Linked DNA regions of Arabidopsis thaliana. The protein of the gene in region 1 interacts with the protein of each later gene in a pairwise test. Each region holds a gene or a part of one and is shown in the gene's direction. Other genes may lie near its edges.

Evidence for each region.
Region 2: the proteins of ARF2 (region 1) and IAA18 interact in binary tests that used the Arabidopsis thaliana proteins (3 or more experiments, as listed by UniProt).
Region 3: the proteins of ARF2 (region 1) and IAA29 interact in binary tests that used the Arabidopsis thaliana proteins (3 or more experiments, as listed by UniProt).
Region 4: the proteins of ARF2 (region 1) and PAP1 interact in binary tests that used the Arabidopsis thaliana proteins (3 or more experiments, as listed by UniProt).

What each region holds. Positions count from the first base shown.
Region 1 is NC_003076.8:24,908,529-24,915,939, forward strand, and holds ARF2 (auxin response factor 2), read left to right. Parts: upstream 1-1,662; 5' UTR 1,663-2,082; exon of another isoform or gene 2,083-2,184; 5' UTR 2,185-2,330; coding exon 2,331-2,484; intron 2,485-2,574; coding exon 2,575-2,690; intron 2,691-2,815; coding exon 2,816-2,911; intron 2,912-2,995; coding exon 2,996-3,052; intron 3,053-3,146; coding exon 3,147-3,302; intron 3,303-3,404; coding exon 3,405-3,489; intron 3,490-3,583; coding exon 3,584-3,674; intron 3,675-3,753; coding exon 3,754-3,918; intron 3,919-4,052; coding exon 4,053-4,172; intron 4,173-4,265; coding exon 4,266-4,341; intron 4,342-4,417; coding exon 4,418-4,589; intron 4,590-4,685; coding exon 4,686-5,608; intron 5,609-5,699; coding exon 5,700-5,890; intron 5,891-5,974; coding exon 5,975-6,152; 3' UTR 6,153-6,192; intron 6,193-6,285; exon of another isoform or gene 6,286-6,288; coding exon of another isoform or gene 6,289-6,345; 3' UTR 6,346-6,867; downstream 6,868-7,411. UniProt on the Arabidopsis thaliana protein: Auxin response factors (ARFs) are transcriptional factors that bind specifically to the DNA sequence 5'-TGTCTC-3' found in the auxin-responsive promoter elements (AuxREs). Could act as transcriptional activator or repressor.
Region 2 is NC_003070.9:19,303,497-19,308,069, forward strand, and holds IAA18 (indole-3-acetic acid inducible 18), read left to right. Parts: upstream 1-1,584; 5' UTR 1,585-2,173; coding exon 2,174-2,445; intron 2,446-2,721; coding exon 2,722-3,017; intron 3,018-3,100; coding exon 3,101-3,233; intron 3,234-3,436; coding exon 3,437-3,504; intron 3,505-3,599; coding exon 3,600-3,634; 3' UTR 3,635-4,022; downstream 4,023-4,573. UniProt on the Arabidopsis thaliana protein: Aux/IAA proteins are short-lived transcriptional factors that function as repressors of early auxin response genes at low auxin concentrations.
Region 3 is NC_003075.7:15,581,570-15,585,437, forward strand, and holds IAA29 (indole-3-acetic acid inducible 29), read left to right. Parts: upstream 1-1,762; 5' UTR 1,763-1,909; coding exon 1,910-2,169; intron 2,170-2,353; coding exon 2,354-2,682; coding exon of another isoform or gene 2,683-2,693; exon of another isoform or gene 2,694-2,787; coding exon 2,788-2,878; intron 2,879-2,983; coding exon 2,984-3,059; 3' UTR 3,060-3,329; downstream 3,330-3,868. UniProt on the Arabidopsis thaliana protein: Aux/IAA proteins are short-lived transcriptional factors that function as repressors of early auxin response genes at low auxin concentrations.
Region 4 is NC_003074.8:5,611,671-5,616,421, reverse strand, and holds PAP1 (phytochrome-associated protein 1), read left to right. Parts: upstream 1-1,618; 5' UTR 1,619-2,213; coding exon 2,214-2,506; intron 2,507-2,717; coding exon 2,718-2,998; intron 2,999-3,090; coding exon 3,091-3,223; intron 3,224-3,442; coding exon 3,443-3,510; coding exon of another isoform or gene 3,511-3,536; exon of another isoform or gene 3,537-3,586; coding exon 3,587-3,621; 3' UTR 3,622-4,219; downstream 4,220-4,751. UniProt on the Arabidopsis thaliana protein: Aux/IAA proteins are short-lived transcriptional factors that function as repressors of early auxin response genes at low auxin concentrations.

The sequences.
Region 1 (7,411 bases):
TCATGGTTTGTAATTTTGCAATAGATTTTGTGTTTCACAGAGAGATAGTTTACGTGTTGTTAAAAATAATTTGTGCAAAATAGTGTGCGTGTGTTAAATATTAAACGATATATAATAATTAGAAGAAAATAAAAAGTTTTGTCGCGATTAGTTATTTGATATTTACCTTGTTCTTTTGTTTATCGCTGCGACAAGCACCGACGGTATAAAATATAAAGAAAAAAAGAAAGAGAGATGAAGGTGAGATGAATGAAAGAGTCGCAGCGACAGATCTGAAGAGATAGGAGAAAGGGAATTTGAGACGCTGAAAATTCCAGCGTCTACGGAATGGCCGAATTACAGTCGATGCGGCAGAGATGAAAAAAATGAGAAATGAAAGTGAAAAAGAGATGAGAACTTTTTTTGGGTCGCAGGTAGCTGACGCAGCAATCAACAAAAGAACATGGCCAACGTTTTAGTAGATACTACTATAAAAGAAAAAGGTTGATTTAATTCATTCGTAATTTGGACTTAATTTTTTTTTAGGAACACTAATTAATCTTATTTGCCAGCTGTATGAGTGGACTACAATAAACTCTTGTCTATAAACCAGATTTTCTTCCTTTTTAACGCTTCCACTTACAACAATATATGTAAATATGTAATTATGACGGGGCATACGGAAATTTAATTTTTGAAGCAGATTCATCCCATTAGCCAGCTGTATTAAGTGGTAATCCAAGAGTTAATTTAGTTGTTCAGCAAATGATTTTAGATAAAATCAACTACTAGTTTAAAATAACTATCGAATGACTGTTAAGGCTTCGTATTTTTTGTTCTGCCATCAGGATATCATAAATATGGTTGAGGTTCGTATAATATTCGACGATCTTTTATATATCTGAGTTGTAATTGAATTAGAGAAAATAAAAAACAGATAATGAAACGTCTTTGTTTTTCCATAAAAAGAAAAACAGGGTAAATTAAAGTACGAGAGATTCACGAGACGAAAATTCCTAGAGGCGCACGATAGCCAAAAGACCATAGAAAATGACATCCGAAATATCTTTAAAATGCTAAAATGCACATATTTTTCTGGTGCCACGTAGCATTTTTCTCCCTCTCTCGTTCTCTCTACGTCCACCCAGACCTGCCTGTTCACAGCACGACAAAGCCACTTCCCAATAAAAACACAACACCTTTCCCATTGACGCTCTCTTTCCCAAACACCGTTATCCTCTTTACCCAATCAAAAGTTGACGCTTGCTCACGACTTGTTGACGCCGTTAGTCCCATCTAAAAAAGTAAAGCAGCCTTTCTTACTTGCTAATCCCCTCTACACATTTAATTTATTTTCTCCCCTAATGGATTTTTTTTGGCAACTTGAGTATTTATTTTTCAACTCACAGTAACTGTAAATAAATAAAAGTATTCAACTCACAGTCACCAGTAAATAAATACTACCAGACCATAGTTTTTTCAAGAATTGTTTTGGTCAACAATTTTAGGATGACTTAAATTGCTATATTTCTGGGGAAATACGACTTGGAAATGTCTGCAATTTGGGTCTTTTCTTCAATTTATCTTCTCCAATTTGTTTTTTAAAAAATTAAATTTTAGAAAAGGATATGTCAATTTTTTCTATTGAAAAGGCTTTATTAAAAAATAAGAAAAAGTGGAGGAAAGAAAATAAAATCGTCACTTGTCTTTGGTTTTGTGAGGTCGCAGACCCTGGTCCCCCGGAAATGGTTACAACCGGTAATAGCCGGTATGAAAGAGGGAATGGTAACCGGTGAATGCCGGTTATCCATATGGGTTAGAAGTTTACCGCGGTTGAAATGATTGAAGCTGAGTTTTGACTACCTCTGGTTAAGCCCATTGGTCGCCTCATACCCAGAAAAACAAAAGGATAGGAAAGACGAAGAAATAAAAAGAGAGAGAATGTTAGAGAGACAAACTCTGAGAGACAAAACAAGAGAAAATCGCTCGTCGTCGGTATTCAAGCGTCTGTGACTCCGATAAAGCCTAGACTAGCGAGGACGGCGAGAGAGAGAGAGAGAGAGCTTTGGAGTTGTCGTATCTCTAAATCGGAGGCAATTTGAGGTGAAATTGGTGGTTTTATCGTTTGATTCTAGGGTTTATCTTCTCTGATAGTTTTATCGAGTAATGTCAAGGAGCTAAACTAGTGGTGATTGTGTTTGTTAGTGAGATAAAGACAAAGGAAGGAATCAAGTGGACTACCGAAGCGAGTTTTGAGCTTTTTCAGAGACGGATTTGGAGATTTCTTGTTGATATCGTCTGCTTAGAGGCTTATTTGGTACCAGATGAAACAGATCTGAGCTTCGGAAGGTATGGCGAGTTCGGAGGTTTCAATGAAAGGTAATCGTGGAGGAGATAACTTCTCCTCCTCTGGTTTTAGTGACCCTAAGGAGACTAGAAATGTCTCCGTCGCCGGCGAGGGGCAAAAAAGTAATTCTACCCGATCCGCTGCGGCTGAGCGTGCTTGTAAGTCTCCGTTTCTTAGGGTTTCTTAAGCTTGGTTTTGGTTACAGACTGACTTGATCTAATTTATCTTCTTCTTCTTCGTCTTCATAGTGGACCCTGAGGCTGCTCTTTACAGAGAGCTATGGCACGCTTGTGCTGGTCCGCTTGTGACGGTTCCTAGACAAGACGACCGAGTCTTCTATTTTCCTCAAGGACACATCGAGCAGGTGAGATATTTCATCTATGAGTTCTTGCTATTTTTGGCTAAATCTTTGAGTTAACCCCTCTGTGATTCGTACCTGTTGAGATATTTTCTAATGAACTTTGTCGGTTTCCATTGTTTTATGATTAGGTGGAGGCTTCGACGAACCAGGCGGCAGAACAACAGATGCCTCTCTATGATCTTCCGTCAAAGCTTCTCTGTCGAGTTATTAATGTAGATTTAAAGGTAGGTTTCTTTAACTTCTTGGAAAATTTTGGTTTCTGTGTCTTGGATTGTCAGCTAACAAGAGTTTTGTTTATGATTTTACAGGCAGAGGCAGATACAGATGAAGTTTATGCGCAGATTACTCTTCTTCCTGAGGCTAATGTAAGTTTTGTTTTCTGATTTATTGGTTTGAGTGTTGTAGAGGTGATCTTATTCTTCAAGATGCTGAATTCTATATATTTTTTGTTCCATACAGCAAGACGAGAATGCAATTGAGAAAGAAGCGCCTCTTCCTCCACCTCCGAGGTTCCAGGTGCATTCGTTCTGCAAAACCTTGACTGCATCCGACACAAGTACACATGGTGGATTTTCTGTTCTTAGGCGACATGCGGATGAATGTCTCCCACCTCTGGTTGGTGTTTCATTTGCGCTTCTAACTATCTATTCATTGGCTTATTTTTCCTGAATTTTGTTCTAAGATTGCCTTCAATTCATTTTTTGTTTCTTCCCTCAGGATATGTCTCGACAGCCTCCCACTCAAGAGTTAGTTGCAAAGGATTTGCATGCAAATGAGTGGCGATTCAGACATATATTCCGGGGTATAGGAATCTGTAACTTTTTTATTTTCTGTTTTTCTCGAGTCTGTGTGTCATCAAACTTATCTGGTTGTTGATGTTTGTGATAATGGACCAGGTCAACCACGGAGGCATTTGCTACAGAGTGGGTGGAGTGTGTTTGTTAGCTCCAAAAGGCTAGTTGCAGGCGATGCGTTTATATTTCTAAGGTTTGTGGATTTTAGTTCATTGTTTTCTTTAGCTGTATCTGTTAGTTTCTATAATGTGGAATATCTTAATCTTCTACAGGGGCGAGAATGGAGAATTAAGAGTTGGTGTAAGGCGTGCGATGCGACAACAAGGAAACGTGCCGTCTTCTGTTATATCTAGCCATAGCATGCATCTTGGAGTACTGGCCACCGCATGGCATGCCATTTCAACAGGGACTATGTTTACAGTCTACTACAAACCCAGGTTTGTATTTGTATTAGCTCACAAAACAGCTTTCAGTTTTTTGAGCTCTTTGCTTTGTATGTCTCTATATGTCTGATGCTTGGTAGTGAATCACTCTACTAAATTTTCATGCGGTGTTGTTTTGTTTAATACAGGACGAGCCCATCTGAGTTTATTGTTCCGTTCGATCAGTATATGGAGTCTGTTAAGAATAACTACTCTATTGGCATGAGATTCAAAATGAGATTTGAAGGCGAAGAGGCTCCTGAGCAGAGGTAAAACCTGTCTTCTGCTTTTGAAATATGTTAGCTCTTGAGCCTTTTTCTCTTGGAATAACGAACCTAACAAGTTGTATTGATTTATATTAGGTTTACTGGCACAATCGTTGGGATTGAAGAGTCTGATCCTACTAGGTGGCCAAAATCAAAGTGGAGATCCCTCAAGGTATGACCTAGTTTCTAGAGAGGATCAAGACTATTGTTTGAATATAATGAATGCTGATTGTTCAATTGTCTTTCAGGTGAGATGGGATGAGACTTCTAGTATTCCTCGACCTGATAGAGTATCTCCGTGGAAAGTAGAGCCAGCTCTTGCTCCTCCTGCTTTGAGTCCTGTTCCAATGCCTAGGCCTAAGAGGCCCAGATCAAATATAGCACCTTCATCTCCTGACTCTTCGATGCTTACCAGAGAAGGTAATGTCTTCCCCTTCCACTGTAGTACACATAGTAGTGCGTCTGAAACTTAATTGAACTTGTCAGTGGGAGTCTAATTCATTGTACACAAAACAGGTACAACTAAGGCAAACATGGACCCTTTACCAGCAAGCGGACTTTCAAGGGTCTTGCAAGGTCAAGAATACTCGACCTTGAGGACGAAACATACTGAGAGTGTAGAGTGTGATGCTCCTGAGAATTCTGTTGTCTGGCAATCTTCAGCGGATGATGATAAGGTTGACGTGGTTTCGGGTTCTAGAAGATATGGATCTGAGAACTGGATGTCCTCAGCCAGGCATGAACCTACTTACACAGATTTGCTCTCCGGCTTTGGGACTAACATAGATCCATCCCATGGTCAGCGGATACCTTTTTATGACCATTCATCATCACCTTCTATGCCTGCAAAGAGAATCTTGAGTGATTCAGAAGGCAAGTTCGATTATCTTGCTAACCAGTGGCAGATGATACACTCTGGTCTCTCCCTGAAGTTACATGAATCTCCTAAGGTACCTGCAGCAACTGATGCGTCTCTCCAAGGGCGATGCAATGTTAAATACAGCGAATATCCTGTTCTTAATGGTCTATCGACTGAGAATGCTGGTGGTAACTGGCCAATACGTCCACGTGCTTTGAATTATTATGAGGAAGTGGTCAATGCTCAAGCGCAAGCTCAGGCTAGGGAGCAAGTAACAAAACAACCCTTCACGATACAAGAGGAGACAGCAAAGTCAAGAGAAGGGAACTGCAGGCTCTTTGGCATTCCTCTGACCAACAACATGAATGGGACAGACTCAACCATGTCTCAGAGAAACAACTTGAATGATGCTGCGGGGCTTACACAGATAGCATCACCAAAGGTTCAGGACCTTTCAGATCAGTCAAAAGGGTCAAAATCAACAAACGATCATCGTGAACAGGGAAGACCATTCCAGACTAATAATCCTCATCCGAAGGATGCTCAAACGAAAACCAACTCAAGTAGGAGTTGCACAAAGGTAAATTTTTGCAATATGTAGCACAAAGTGTATGAGGTTGTGATAACCCTTGAATCACTTTTCAACTAACACATGACACATTGATGTAAAGGTTCACAAGCAGGGAATTGCACTTGGCCGTTCAGTGGATCTTTCAAAGTTCCAAAACTATGAGGAGTTAGTCGCTGAGCTGGACAGGCTGTTTGAGTTCAATGGAGAGTTGATGGCTCCTAAGAAAGATTGGTTGATAGTTTACACAGATGAAGAGAATGATATGATGCTTGTTGGTGACGATCCTTGGCAGTAAGATTTTGCAAATTTTCCATCTTAGTTTATATCGATGTTAGTGTTTTTCTTATAACACTGACACAATGATCTCTCTTGCAGGGAGTTTTGTTGCATGGTTCGCAAAATCTTCATATACACGAAAGAGGAAGTGAGGAAGATGAACCCGGGGACTTTAAGCTGTAGGAGCGAGGAAGAAGCAGTTGTTGGGGAAGGATCAGATGCAAAGGACGCCAAGTCTGCATCAAATCCTTCATTGTCCAGCGCTGGGAACTCTTAAACAAACAAAATAACCAACAACCCTTTTGCTGCAAGCCGAGGTATGTAAAAGCTTTTGAGATATTAGTAGACTAGAGACACAGCCAAAAGTTTATGTCATTACATTCGACTGATGTTTGTTCTGTTAATGACAGCAGGATGGGGGTCGATTGGTGGAGACTGGAGAGCAAAATGGGATGATGGGTTTAAGATAAGATATTAAAAATGCAATTTTTGAAGTATTTTGTTGGCCACTTAGATAATTAGCATCTTCCATCACCCTTATTATCTATCTAATAATAATTAATAGATATTATAAAGTAAAACATAAAAAGGTTACAGGTATTATATAGTAGAATATGAAAAGCTCTTTTATAAGTAGAATATGATGGTGTGGAGTTGTAGTCGGAGGCTGGTATCGGTTCTTTTTATGGATGTATTTTTTTCCTTCTTCCAAAGATCTCTTGAAGTCTTTTTATTGTTTATATTAATCCCAATGTACATAAGTTTTCAAGCTCTTGCCCTTTTTTAATTATCTTGTCGATTCACATTTTCTCAACTTATTCTCTTGCTGACTTTTGGTTTTGGTCTGGTCTTGTCGGTATTTTGCAGCTTTTCGTATTAGACGGTGATATAGATATATTCACGAAACTGTAAGACCTCTTAACAAACGGATTCCATTTCGAATCCTTACATTAAATAAATTCGGATGTTTCTAGCTACAATCTGAAAATTAAGCTTGCAATGAGCAAAACAGTGAGCCCTCTTTTTAAAGTACTTTGAAAAAAAAACTGGATGCTAAAATTTGTTGTTTCCCTTGTAACAATGAGGAAAACAAGGTTTGGGTTTTCAAGTTTATTTCTCTAGCTATGCTCATGTCCATATAAACGAATCCGCTGAAAAACAGAAAGATGACACCATGGCAAACACATGATCAAAGTTTCGTGATCTATGGTTTCATTCTATCATATGGCTCTTCATAACCAAACTTGTATTTAGGTAGAACTCTATCTAAATCAAGACTTTAAACCATATGAAACACACAACACCGGCAACTCTGGCATACTACCGCCTTAAGCCGACAATCTCAATCGTCACAGAAACACAACAAACATTTTATCAAACTTGCTGAGTTTATGGAAAAACTTTCAATTGTATCAGTTTATGCCATTATCTTACAACAATACAAAACTGCATAGTTAAATAAGTGGTTCTCTAGCTCCTTGTAATTCTACCATCGACACATATAGTGATAGGTCTGATATGGATGACACATCAAAG
Region 2 (4,573 bases), on another chromosome or scaffold:
TCATTTAAAGCAACACAATAATTCTTGTGTTTTTTATTTGCATGTAAAGGTAGACACAAAACTCGAATCTAAAATCAATAATTTTATTTGTTTAGTGACTGATTTGAAAAAAACGCAGAATAAACTAACCTGATTAAAAAAAAAGAGAGTTTATATTGGAGCTTACTGAATTCTATCGATCTAAAGTATAAGATGACAAAAAATTCCTCGTATCATTTGGGTTTAAATATATGATGGGATGGTAAATGGTAATTAAAGCCAATAGTAATAATTTATAAAATAATAACGACAAAACGAAATAAAGGAAGAAAATTTGCAAGAATAACTAACAAAAACTTATAAATTAAGAAAGTAACACAAAACAAAAAAACAGATATACTCTCTATATTATATATAATAATGGTATATTTACCCATTTTTCTCCACCTCATTCTAAGTCCCTCCTTCTCTCTTCACCTCTCATCTCTTTTTCTTTCTTCTCTCAATCTTTTTTTTTTTTCTTTTTTTGTATCACATAACAAACAAACGAGAAGGACAAAATAGATTTTTCAGATACCACTTATGTTATCTGGTTGCTTGAGTTGCCAAGGTTGTATCTTAGGGTATAGTTTTTCTATACATCCAAAATAGTATAGTACAACATTTTATTTCTATCCAAAATAGTACATGTTTTTACTTACAAACACTATTTACTATTTTATAAATTCAAATCCGATTTTAAAAATTCAAACTATTTTGTATGTAGAAAAAATATAGGTTTTTTCTAATAAATTTTATAATTGGAATTTATTTTTTGGAAAAGATATATAACAAAAAAAAAACAAATAGGTGAAAAACTAAACTAAATGTTACTAAATCATTTTACCTCCAATTCAACACTAAAATTGTCTTTTCCTTATCCTTACATGCTATTTTCTTAATTTTTATATATATGGTACTATATTTTTAATTTGTTTGTCAAATATGGTTATTCAGCTAAATCACCCAATAGAGACTCAATAGAGACTGAGAGAGAGAAAAAGAAGGGTTTCTCGTAAAATCTCCAAATTCATTTGAACTTTCCCAAACATTGGAATATGTGTAAGTCCCATAGGAGTAGGACAGAGTCGATAGGGGTGTGATCCTAACATACCAGAGAAAGATCGTCGAATCCTCCATTTCTTTTTATGGCAACCATATTTTAATTATATACTACTATTTATTAATTTAATTGGGTGTGATTTTTACTTCGCGTAATATAAATATGCTTTTTCTACATTTTCCCAATAATTTTGTAAAAGTGTAAAGTCTCTACAAAAACATTGTTTAGTCCTCCTTTTTTGGTCTAAATATTTGTTTAGTCCTATATCCATATTTTGTGACACTACTAGTATTATAAAAACATAACAAATTCTCAAGTTACACTTCTCGTTTTGTTTGGGTCAACCACACAACACCACAAGTTTTACTTGTACAAAGTAATTGTTTGTTTATGTTTTTCTGTTGTATGTATTTTTTTTAATTGGTCAAAAGAAAATATGTTTTAAATAAAAAGGTGAAAAAAGGCCTATGGGATTGGAATAATAAGATAGAAAACAAAATAGCATGCTTTGCTTCCTCCACTAAACTTCCTTTAAGGGCAGAGAGAGAGATAAAAAGATTGATTGCGTGTGTTTCACACCAATAAATCCCTTTATTTTTATTTTTTGGTCTCCAAATTTACTAACTTCTAATAATTTCCAATTTTACCCCTTATTTTTCTTCCTTTGGTTTTAACCTATTCACTGCATTTCCTTGGTATAAAATCCAACTTCTTCTCCTTCAAGAATCTAGAGATAGAGAGAGAGAGAGAACACAAAGTGGGAAAAAAGATAAGAACCCACCATAAAGTTTTAACATTTTTCCCTTCAAAAGGCGAAAGCTTTTGATTTGTATAAAAGTCCCACTTAATCACCTCTCTAGCTTCTCATTCCATTTCCATCTCCTCTCTTTTGTTTTCTAAGTTGCTTCAAGAGTTTTGGATAGTGTAGCAGAGAGATTTTAACTAATGGGTTTATAAAATTTTGTTCTTTTGCGTGAACAAGTTGTCAACTTCTAGACAGATTTTCTTTTTGAAGTGTTTTCTTGTCGAAATTCTTCTTCTTTTGGTCAAAGAACGCAAGATTCTTCTGTAGTTCCTCTAAAAAAAATCCTAATGGAGGGTTATTCAAGAAACGGTGAAATCTCTCCGAAGCTGCTTGACTTGATGATTCCACAAGAGAGAAGAAATTGGTTTCACGATGAGAAAAACTCTGTTTTCAAAACAGAGGAGAAGAAGCTTGAGCTAAAGCTTGGACCACCTGGTGAAGAAGATGATGATGAATCGATGATAAGACACATGAAGAAAGAACCAAAAGACAAATCTATCCTCTCTCTCGCTGGCAAATACTTCTCTCCTTCTTCCACCAAAACCACATCCCATAAAAGGTTTTAAACTTCTCATCTCTTACTTTTTGTTTTTCTCTGTTTTGTATCCTTCTCACATGATGATATTCACTTGTTATTAGCCAATAAGGTCCCATCTATCTGCATAAACTTTGTTCTTGTCTGCTTAAGATTGGATCTCAAAACTTTTCATCTTTTTACCCTTTTCCCATCTGAAAGTTTCAGTCTTTTTACTGCCCTAGTTTTCCTCTGTTTTTAACCTTGAGATTGTTCTTGTCTTACTAACAAGTTTTGTTTTGATGCCTTTGTGTTTTAAAGAACTGCTCCTGGTCCAGTGGTGGGATGGCCTCCGGTTCGATCCTTCAGGAAGAATTTAGCTAGTGGAAGTTCTTCAAAGCTTGGAAATGACTCAACCACCTCCAATGGTGTTACCCTCAAGAACCAAAAGTGTGATGCTGCTGCTAAGACAACAGAACCAAAGAGACAAGGAGGCATGTTTGTGAAGATCAACATGTATGGTGTTCCCATTGGTCGTAAAGTTGATCTCAGTGCTCATAATAGCTATGAGCAGTTATCTTTCACAGTTGACAAGCTCTTCAGAGGTCTTCTTGCAGGTAAATTTGAAACCTTTGTCTCTCTATTGATTATGGTTAAAAAAGGGTTGAATTTTGAACTCTAATTGTTCTTATTTTATCAGCTCAAAGAGACTTTCCATCATCCATAGAAGATGAAAAACCAATCACTGGATTATTAGATGGGAATGGAGAATATACTCTTACATATGAAGACAATGAAGGAGACAAGATGCTTGTAGGAGATGTTCCATGGCAGTAAGAATCTTTTCTTTTCTTTTTCGTTTTTTTCTGAATCTGAGTCAGCTTTTTGTTCTATCTAAAGGAGAAGTATTAGATTCCTAGTCACATATTTATTATATCTTAATCACAGTTTGATTAATAACAAACTTAGTTTGGTTAAGCTATTAAAGATTGTGGACTTTTTGATCACTAAAATTGATTATTTCTTAAATTGTCAGAATGTTTGTGTCTTCGGTGAAGAGGCTGCGTGTGATTAAAACTTCTGAGATTTCTTCAGCATTAACATGTAAGTGTAGGATTTTAATAACATTTTTTAGTTGTTTTGGTGACTCTTTTAAGTGAAGTTCTTAGAATGTTTTTTTGTTGTTTTGAAATTTGCAGATGGAAATGGTAAGCAAGAGAAAATGAGAAGATGAAGAAAAAGATCTTTTACAGCTTTTAAAGAAGTAGAGAGATGTTATTAATTGCATTTTGCCTTTAAACTTTGATGAGTTTTTGGTCTTGGAAAAGTTTCTGATATAAGTCTGATGTACATTCTGGTTTGTTACATCTTCTTTTGGCTTTTGAGATATCATAGAGTTTTGTTGGAACTCAAAGACCAAACAGTGCAATGATGATTTTGGGGTCTTGAGTAAATTTACAAACCCTTTTAGGCATATTATAATAGTCTTCTGTTTTTAAGTTTTGGTAATGATTATTCACACTTGATCAACACTTTTAAGTAATGTAACTCTCCCTATGTCAGCAAAGCATCCTTTTCGAAAAACGGAGAAAAGAAACAATCTTTTTCTCTGCCAAAAAGCTCTTTAGCTTTTATTAAATCTATACTTAGGGTATCCGCTATTGTAATGAACTATGAGAGTGAAAGGTTTTAAAACATTGAACAACTTTTCTTTAAATGAGCTGTTAGGACAGATATTCAAACCATTGTCTAACCACATCTTTCATCTTTGTCTGGACTCTTGGGCAACAAAATTACAGACATCATTAGATTATCATCTTCTGATTATTGATCTACATATTTGATAATACTTGATATGATATAGTTTCTATGTATAATCATCTCTAAATTTATGTTTCTAGTTTAGCTTTTGTGTTTCGTAGAATAGATATATAAAATAAAGGGTTGTTCATAAGCATATGTATTCATACGATCAAATCGTTTAAAAGGAAAAAAGGAAGAAAAAATTGGTGGGTATGGAATATTGATAAAGAGAGTACAAAATAGAAAAATTGAAGAGAAGTCTTTTTCGTTGAGAGTCTTGCCTAACTATTCGAAGCAGCAATATGAGACCTTATAGTTACTTTTTTCCTTTTGCCTTCGAAAATGTTCATTCTATATTCTTTTGAAGTCT
Region 3 (3,868 bases), on another chromosome or scaffold:
AACAACACCATATTTTTATAGCTTTACTTATCGTATTTTTCTAGTCTTCATGGTAATTGTGTTGCTTTATTTTGTTTATAAATGAATTTGGTTCGACCAGATAGTCTAATATCAGTTTTTAAACACTGGTTTTAATAAAATCATATGTCGGCAATTCAACCTGTTACGTTGTATGATTGTATCCTAGTCAAATAGGGGAGGAGGTACTAGTCGTTTCAATTAGTTTACGTAATCAATCCAAAGAAACTATAAGCTATAAAGATCCTCAATTTGTTGGTTACAATAAAAACAACAGTTGTCAAAATTTATGTTTATAAAAAGTAATAACTATGTTCCTTCCCATATAGAGCAAAGTACCTCAGGATAGGCAAACCGTACTTAATAGCCCTTATTCATAATTTGATCCAACTCTTCCCCACAAAATTGCAACTGATGAAGTCAATACTTGTATAGTGAGTCAAGCTATAAATGTCTAGTGATAGTTTTGTCTCTTAAAAGGTTAACAAAAGTTATGACAAGCTGAAAAATCAGAGTTTGCTAGGAGTATTACTTACAGTTATCAGTTTAAGTATCACATTTATAGTATTGTATACAATGATTCTTAAATTCCACCTTTTCCGTGCGAAACCAAATTTTCTATTGGAAACATAGAATGTAAACAAAAATATGGGACGTTGTCCGTTCCAACATTAACCAAACTTGTCTATTACTAATATTCGTGTTGGTTTGATGTTGGATGTCTAAATTCGTTGAATCATGTGTCTCTTGACGAAATATGCATCTTCTTATTTCTTAGTATAGATGCACTTTATCATTCTTTTAGTACATGCTTAATTTTTTTTTTTAAAATATGTTGATTGTCATATTGCCAAAAGTATGAATTAAAGACGCACATCTAACACAAGTTAGCAGCCGTAAATCCTTCCATAAATTTATTTTGCAAGTTTTGCTCATTATATAATGAGCGGAATTTATGATATAATCGTTTGTAATAATGTTATGTTTTGATCAAAATTTGAAATTAAAAGTAGGTGAGAACTTGTTATACAGTGTAGATAAGGTGGATCTTGAATATAAAAATAAAATTTATAAGATGTATTTAAAGCAGAAAAGCATAAAACTTTAGATAAAATAATGTAAAAATGTGTTAGCATCAATGTTGGGATATTGGCCGACCCGAACTTAATCAATGTCGGAAGCCATTACTTCTCTCCCAAAAGACCTTTTTCCTTCGGAGAACTAGGAACTTCCTCACTACCTTTCGCTTAACGTGAAAGCCATAAATTTCATATATTCATAAAAATCAGAAAATCTAAAACTGTTTAGTATCACCTGTTTTTGGTATAGACTATTGGTTTTGTGTTACTTCCTAAACTATATGATTTCGTACTTCATTGGATCTTATAGAGATGAATATTCGTAAAAAGATAAGTTATCTGGTGAAACGTTACTTCAGTCATGTTGGGTCTAGATTTACATACTACTATGAAACATTTTAAGATAATAATTATCCTAGCCAACTATATGTTCTATATTATGGGCCAAGAAGATATAGAACTAAAAGTTCAGAATTTAACGATATAAATTACTAGTATATTCTAATACTTGAATGATTACTGTTTTAGTTGTTTAGAATAAATAGTAGCGTGTTGGTTAAGATACCATCTATCCACATCTATATTTGTGTGGGTTACATAAAATGTACATAATATTATATACATATATATGTATATTTTTGATAAAGCCATATATTACTCCTTGACCTCTGCCCCCATTTCCTTTTACTATAAATAGGAATACTCATGATCCTCTAATTCAGCAATCAACACCAACGAACACAACCTTTTCCAAAGCCAATAATAAAAGAACAAAAGCTTTTAGTTTCATCAAAGACGAAGCTGCCTTAGAAATGGAGTTGGATCTTGGTCTATCTCTTTCACCTCATAAATCTTCCAAGTTAGGGTTTAACTTTGACCTCAACAAGCATTGTGCGATCGAGGGTGCTGCGTCTTGTTTGGGTACCGAAAAACTGCGTTTTGAGGCGACGTTTGGGTTAGGGAATGTGGAGGAAAATTGTTATATGCCAAAACAGCGTTTGTTTGCCTTGAATGGCCAGCCCAACGAGGAAGACGAAGATCCTCTGGAATCCGAGTCTTCAATAGTTTACGAGTGAGTACCTTGACTATTTTAGTATTTGACAACAATTAGGTTAAAGTAGTTACATCTAGTATTATTATATAATAAATGACTCCGTAGTTTTCAAAAATGTTATGATGTTGTAGACTTGTAGTTAACTCAATGGAGAGGCATAATTTGTATTTTTTTGTAACATATAATTAATTTTAATATTTAGTGATGAGGAGGAAAATAGCGAAGTTGTTGGATGGCCACCAGTAAAAACATGTATGATAAAGTATGGTAGTTATCATCATCGTCATATTCGTAATCACCATCATTGCCCGTATCATCATCGTGGTAGGAGGATCACGGCGATGAACAACAACATATCTAATCCAACAACGGCTACTGTGGGATCATCATCTTCTTCGTCAATATCATCAAGATCATCAATGTATGTTAAGGTTAAGATGGATGGTGTGGCAATAGCAAGAAAAGTGGATATCAAGCTTTTTAACTCTTACGAGTCCCTCACTAACTCCTTGATCACTATGTTTACCGAATGTAAGTACTAATTACGTTTATCAAAATCTAGAGTAAGAAACCTATAAACAATTGAAAATAGAACGTAACTTTTTACTACTATTGAATCTAATTTTGGGTTATCAGATGAAGATTGCGACAGAGAAGATACAAATTATACATTCACCTTCCAAGGGAAAGAGGGTGACTGGCTACTTCGAGGGGATGTTACATGGAAGTAAGTTTACTTCTCTATATTTCAAGAAAAATGACTTATTGAGTAATGACTACTATACTCTCTTTCTTATATATTGATACTTAACTTGTTGTTTTGGTTTTGTAGGATCTTTGCGGAATCTGTTCATCGGATATCAATAATTAGAGATCGACCGTGTGCATATACAAGATGTTTGTTTTAAGGATAGGCGTTCAAATCGGACCATTATTTTTTATTTTGTAATTAAAATGTCTATCATTTGATTAAATTTCCACTCGATCTTTTTCCTCTATTCTTCTAGTTCTTAGTATCAAATCCAATGGTTTATAATCTGTTGTTATCTGATCCATGGCTAACACATGGACAAAAAGCTAAAGAAAATTCAAAAGTAAAAAAAACTCATGAATTGTCAAAGACAGACTAGCTGATAATAATTAAGATGTTAGACTTTTTGTGTGTACCGAATTGATTTTTTTTTCATAGACTTGTTTGATTGAGAAACCATAAGAATGTAATGGTTGCGGACGTCCGGGTTTTACACAAGTAAGTATGTCACTTTATGTGATTCAAGAGATTTCCAAGTAATTAAATTTTGGTTTGAATTAGATCGGAGTACGATTTTAAATTGTGAGTAAACAAGGGGAAAAAAAAAAGCATGAGTAAACAGAAAAAAAATGACATAAAAACTGATACATTTCTTAAACAATTTAATTAGCTGAATAGCTGATAACAAAATTTAAAATGAATATTATTGATCTTAGCTTAAAATGCGTAATTTAGATTAAAATATTAATCAATAATGAATGATATATAAGAAAATCTTTTATTAAAATGGTTATTATATTTACAATTTGCATAAAATTATATCATAAGTTTATAATCTTTAAATTAAATAATATGACAAACATAATCTTTATATAAGGAAAATAGATATTTTAGTGAAATTTAGAGAAACACAACTTTAGATCTACTAAAGTTATGAATGAAACAATCAAACAACTGTAAAAAGAT
Region 4 (4,751 bases), on another chromosome or scaffold:
GTATTAGTAGTCAAAACTCAATAGTCAACCCATTTTTCCATAAAGGCATGAAGTTCATGAACATTGATGATCAACAATTGGGCTCATTTTCAGCGTGATTTTCATGGGCCAGTTATACTAGAGGATCAGTTCAGACCTTATCCATATTTGGATTATTTTTTCTTTTATTCCTCTTTTTATTTTGTTAAAATGATATCAATTTCTTACATATACTCCTTTTTTAGTTCACTAAAAAAATTAGTGAGTGGATAAAAATAATTTTATTTCTTGGTGAAAATTCTAGGAAGAGCATCATTGACACCACCACTATTCTCACTTGCTTTTCTTTATTTCCCTTGATATGACATTCAATTCACGAGTTGTTTTTTTGTTCCTTTTCTCCTGAGTCGGCTACTTTTTTAATCGGATGCTTTGCTTTGTACTCTTTTAATCACAGCCGTCACATTTGCTATATCTCTATTCACTTCTACGGCTTTGATTAAAGCCCAAATTTAAACCTTATCGTACGATCTCAAAATCTTGTGCAACTTCAACATGTGTCCACTGTCTAGTTTGTCTGTGCGGATCTAGTTAGTGCGGTTAAGTTAAACCGGAGAGGTTCAGGTTATGTTAACCATGGTTAAGGTTTTGTCTGACAGTGAGGGAAGAAAGTCACGGAGTTGGGTAAAACGGCGACAAGATATGACTAGAGACACACTCCTTCTTCAATTTCCTAAATTACCCTTCCTTACTTGACCGGAACTCTCACTCGAGATTTTTCTACGTCGGCTTTATCGTAATATCGGTGTCACACGTACGTGGGAGAGACATGTACATTCTTTTCCCCCTCCTGAAAAACCAAATAAAATAGCTTCAATCTTTGGTTGAAAAACTTGAAATATGTTCTTGATTTACGCTGCAAAATTATGTACATTTTTTAAGATCAAAGGACCAACTACAATTGTTTCTGCTAAAGTCTTTTCTTTTGTTATTTTTATCAAAATATGTTGATTTTGTAGATTTGAGAAAAGAAAATTTTTGATTAGGAAAAACAAACAAACAGTTGACTATTTACTTGGTTGGGGAAGCAAATTAAATTATACCATCGTAATCCACACGTACACATTGTTTTTAACTTTTGACAAAATAATTGTTTAGCTACCTAACAAATTGACATATTGTGTGGCAAATTTATAAATAAATAATTACATATATCTCACTGAGACGCCATGCAGATTCGTATGTTTATACAATGCCTCACCCATTTCTTGAATTCTCTCAATTGATCTTCCCATGATGTTCATTTATTATTTGCTTTATGTATATCTTTGTAGAATGGTAGTATTACTATTAAAGTATCAAATTACCATGACGACCTATAGAAAAATGTTTTTAGAAAAGCATAGGGATATGTGTCTTATGGACAGTGGATAAGAGAGTGGTCCTAAAAACAGACCATAAATTATGGGATCTTCCCTTAGTTCCTTTATTGTTATCATATTTTAATTACTCTTATTAGTATTTTTTTAATGGTCAAGTTGTTTATTGGAATTACGCATTTAATTATTTTTCTAATTCGTATACTTGTGAGAAACAGAACAGCACGCTTTGCTTCTTTTACTAGACAAACCCTTAATTAGCGATATTTGAGGCAGAAAAAAAGACAAGGTTGCGTGTGTTTTACTCCACAAAAGAACTCCTAAAACCAAAAACGTTAAAACCCACTTCTTTTTTTTCACAGTATTCTCTTTTCATGTCAAGAACAATTACTGTTTTTCTTGGTATGCAATCTGTAAATTTATTGTAGTTTTCATTTCTACTTTTGGGGTTTAGGAGTAAAAGTGGAGTCACTCTACTTTGCTTTACCTTTTTCTGAGTTTTTTTTTGTTCATACAAATCCAAATTTCCTTTTCTTTGTATTCCTATTTTTTCTCTTCTCGTCCCTTTCAGAATCTTTAGAGAGAGAGAACAACAAATTGAGAAAGAAAAAAAGGTAAGGCTGTGTGAGAGAGAACCCACCAAAGCGTGCACGAGAGAGAGAAAAAAAAAGCTTTGATTTTGTATAAAATCCCACCACTGCTCTCTTACCATACCTTCATTACACATCTCTCTTTCTCTCTCTCGCTCTCAGTTTTGTGGGATTGTTTCTTTAAAAGGGGTTCTTAGGGTTTAGTGAAGCTATAGATTTCAATTTCATACATAGTTAACGTATAGAAGGAATCTTGGGTTGATCAATGGAAGGTTGTCCAAGAAACAGAGAAATCGGTCCAAAACTTCTTGATTTGATTCCACAAGGAAGGAAATGGTACCAAGAAGACAAGAACAACACAGATCAGGAGAAGAAACTTGAGCTAAGGCTTGGACCACCCGGTGGTGATGAAGAAGATCATTCAGCAATCAAGAAGAAGAACACAGAGATAAGAAACATCAAGAAGGAAACAGAAGACAAATCTTTCCACTGTTTTAATGGCAATCACTTCTCTCCTTCCAACAAAACCACTTCTGTTCCTCACATCTCACAGAAAAGGTATAATCTCCTTTTTTTTCCTTCACTGTTATTTTTTCTTACTGCTTTGACAGAGGATATTCTCTTGAACATTAGGGACCCATCTTCTGCAATCTGTGTTTTTTTTTTTACCTTCACATGTTAAAAGTTTCAACATTTACTCTGTTTTGCTCTGTTTTTGTCGTTTGGTATTGACATATGTCTCTTGTTTCTTTTGATATCTGGTTCAAAGAACTGCTCCTGGTCCAGTGGTGGGTTGGCCTCCGGTTCGTTCGTTCAGAAAGAATCTAGCGAGCACAAGCTCTTCAAAGCTAGGTAACGAATCCTCTCATGGAGGTCAAATCAACAAGAGTGATGATGGTGAAAAACAAGTTGAAACCAAGAAGGAAGGAATGTTTGTCAAGATCAACATGGATGGTGTTCCTATTGGTCGTAAAGTTGATCTCAATGCTTACAACAGCTACGAACAGCTCTCTTTTGTCGTTGACAAACTCTTCAGAGGTCTACTCGCAGGTTAAATCTTAATCTCAAATTCTGTTTTTTAGTTCTTTAGGAGTGTTACTTGTGTTTACTGAGTATGATTTGTGTATGTTGTTGGTTTATAGCTCAAAGAGATATCTCTGATGGTCAAGGAGAAGAGAAACCTATCATTGGATTATTAGATGGGAAAGGAGAATTTACTTTAACCTATGAAGACAATGAAGGGGACAAGATGCTTGTTGGGGATGTTCCATGGCAGTAAGAATCTTTTCCCCTTTTGTTCTCTGAATCTGATTCAGTGTTTTGCAGAATTAGATTCTTGATCATATAACAACAAAAGTTCTCAGCTTTTAATCAATAGTAGTAGTAATTCAAATTGATAATTCTTTACCTAAAGAATAGAATTTTGCTTGGAGATTTGTTTATACCTCTTTTTTTGCATACTAACTGATCTTTAATCTTTGTTTTTAAACACAGAATGTTTGTTTCATCTGTGAAGAGACTGCGTGTGATTAAAAGCTCTGAGATTTCATCTGCCTTGACATGTAAGCTTCTGTTCTTATATGTTTAGATGATTTATTAGAGCTATATGATTAAAAGGGTTCCTCTGTATATTTGCAGTTGGATGCAGTAAGCAAGAGAAGATGATGCACTGAAGAGTCTTTTTAGAAACTTTTATTTCAGACAGAGAGTCTCAAAGCTTTATAAATGTACATCTGGTTTTTGTTATATATAAGAGTTAATCATTGGTTTTTTACTTTTTTTTTGGTCCAGAGAAACATTTGATCTGATCTGATATTCCCATGTCTTCAAGACACTAGACGATGAGATTACATAAGCAATCTGTGTTTATAAGCATTTTAATTAATTAAGGAGATAATTAGAACATACTGTAATAATTATCTCATGCATGTCTGCAAAACTCTTTTTGAAAAAAGAAGATGAAATTTTTATTCTCTGTAAAAGCTCTTTTAACTTTTGTTCCTTCCAACTTTGGCTATACCTTTAATCATGTAAAAAGCTGAGAATGAAAGGCCATTATTGTTGTTTTTGTTGTTGTCTTTTTTTTTCTTCTTGTTTTTACTATTTAACCTGAGTATGCATGTATATAAGAAGATAAGATTGGAAGTTGAAAACTCAAAAAAGACTTTTCAGAATGAGATCAGTCCATGTCGTGATAATTTTGGTGGCTATATCATCTCTTTTGTTCTTCTAGGTGCAGAATTTAGCAGCTTTTTATCCTGACTTTTTAAATCATACATACACATTGTAACTTATTGGACAGTGTCTTGGTGGATCGACTAAAACATCACTATAGATATGTTTAATTTAGCACATTGTTTTCGTGATAAATATATTCATACCACAAGCATCACTTGGCCGACTTGTATTCATCTTAAAAATTTTATTCGAAGTTGTCCTTCTCATTACCAGATGAGTGTTGTGGTTAAACAATATAACCATTGAAATTGATGCAGCCAAATAGTTTGATAATAACATTTTTTGGTAGCTAAATAATGGTATATGTTTTAACTTTTAACCAAACCAAAAAAGAAACATTTTCGAAACATATGTAAAGCGATAGCCGCAACATAATGAGTTGGAAAATTCCGTTGTTTCATTTGTTGCAAAATGTCGCACCAGTGCCGGCTCTAGGGGAGTGCTAGAGGAGCAAAAGCACAGGGTCCTCAATTTTTTTTTCAATTTTCTTTAAGGTTTTAGGGTCCAAAAATTACAGAAATTAAAAACCAATATTAACTAAAGTCAGTTTTTATAAATCAGCAAA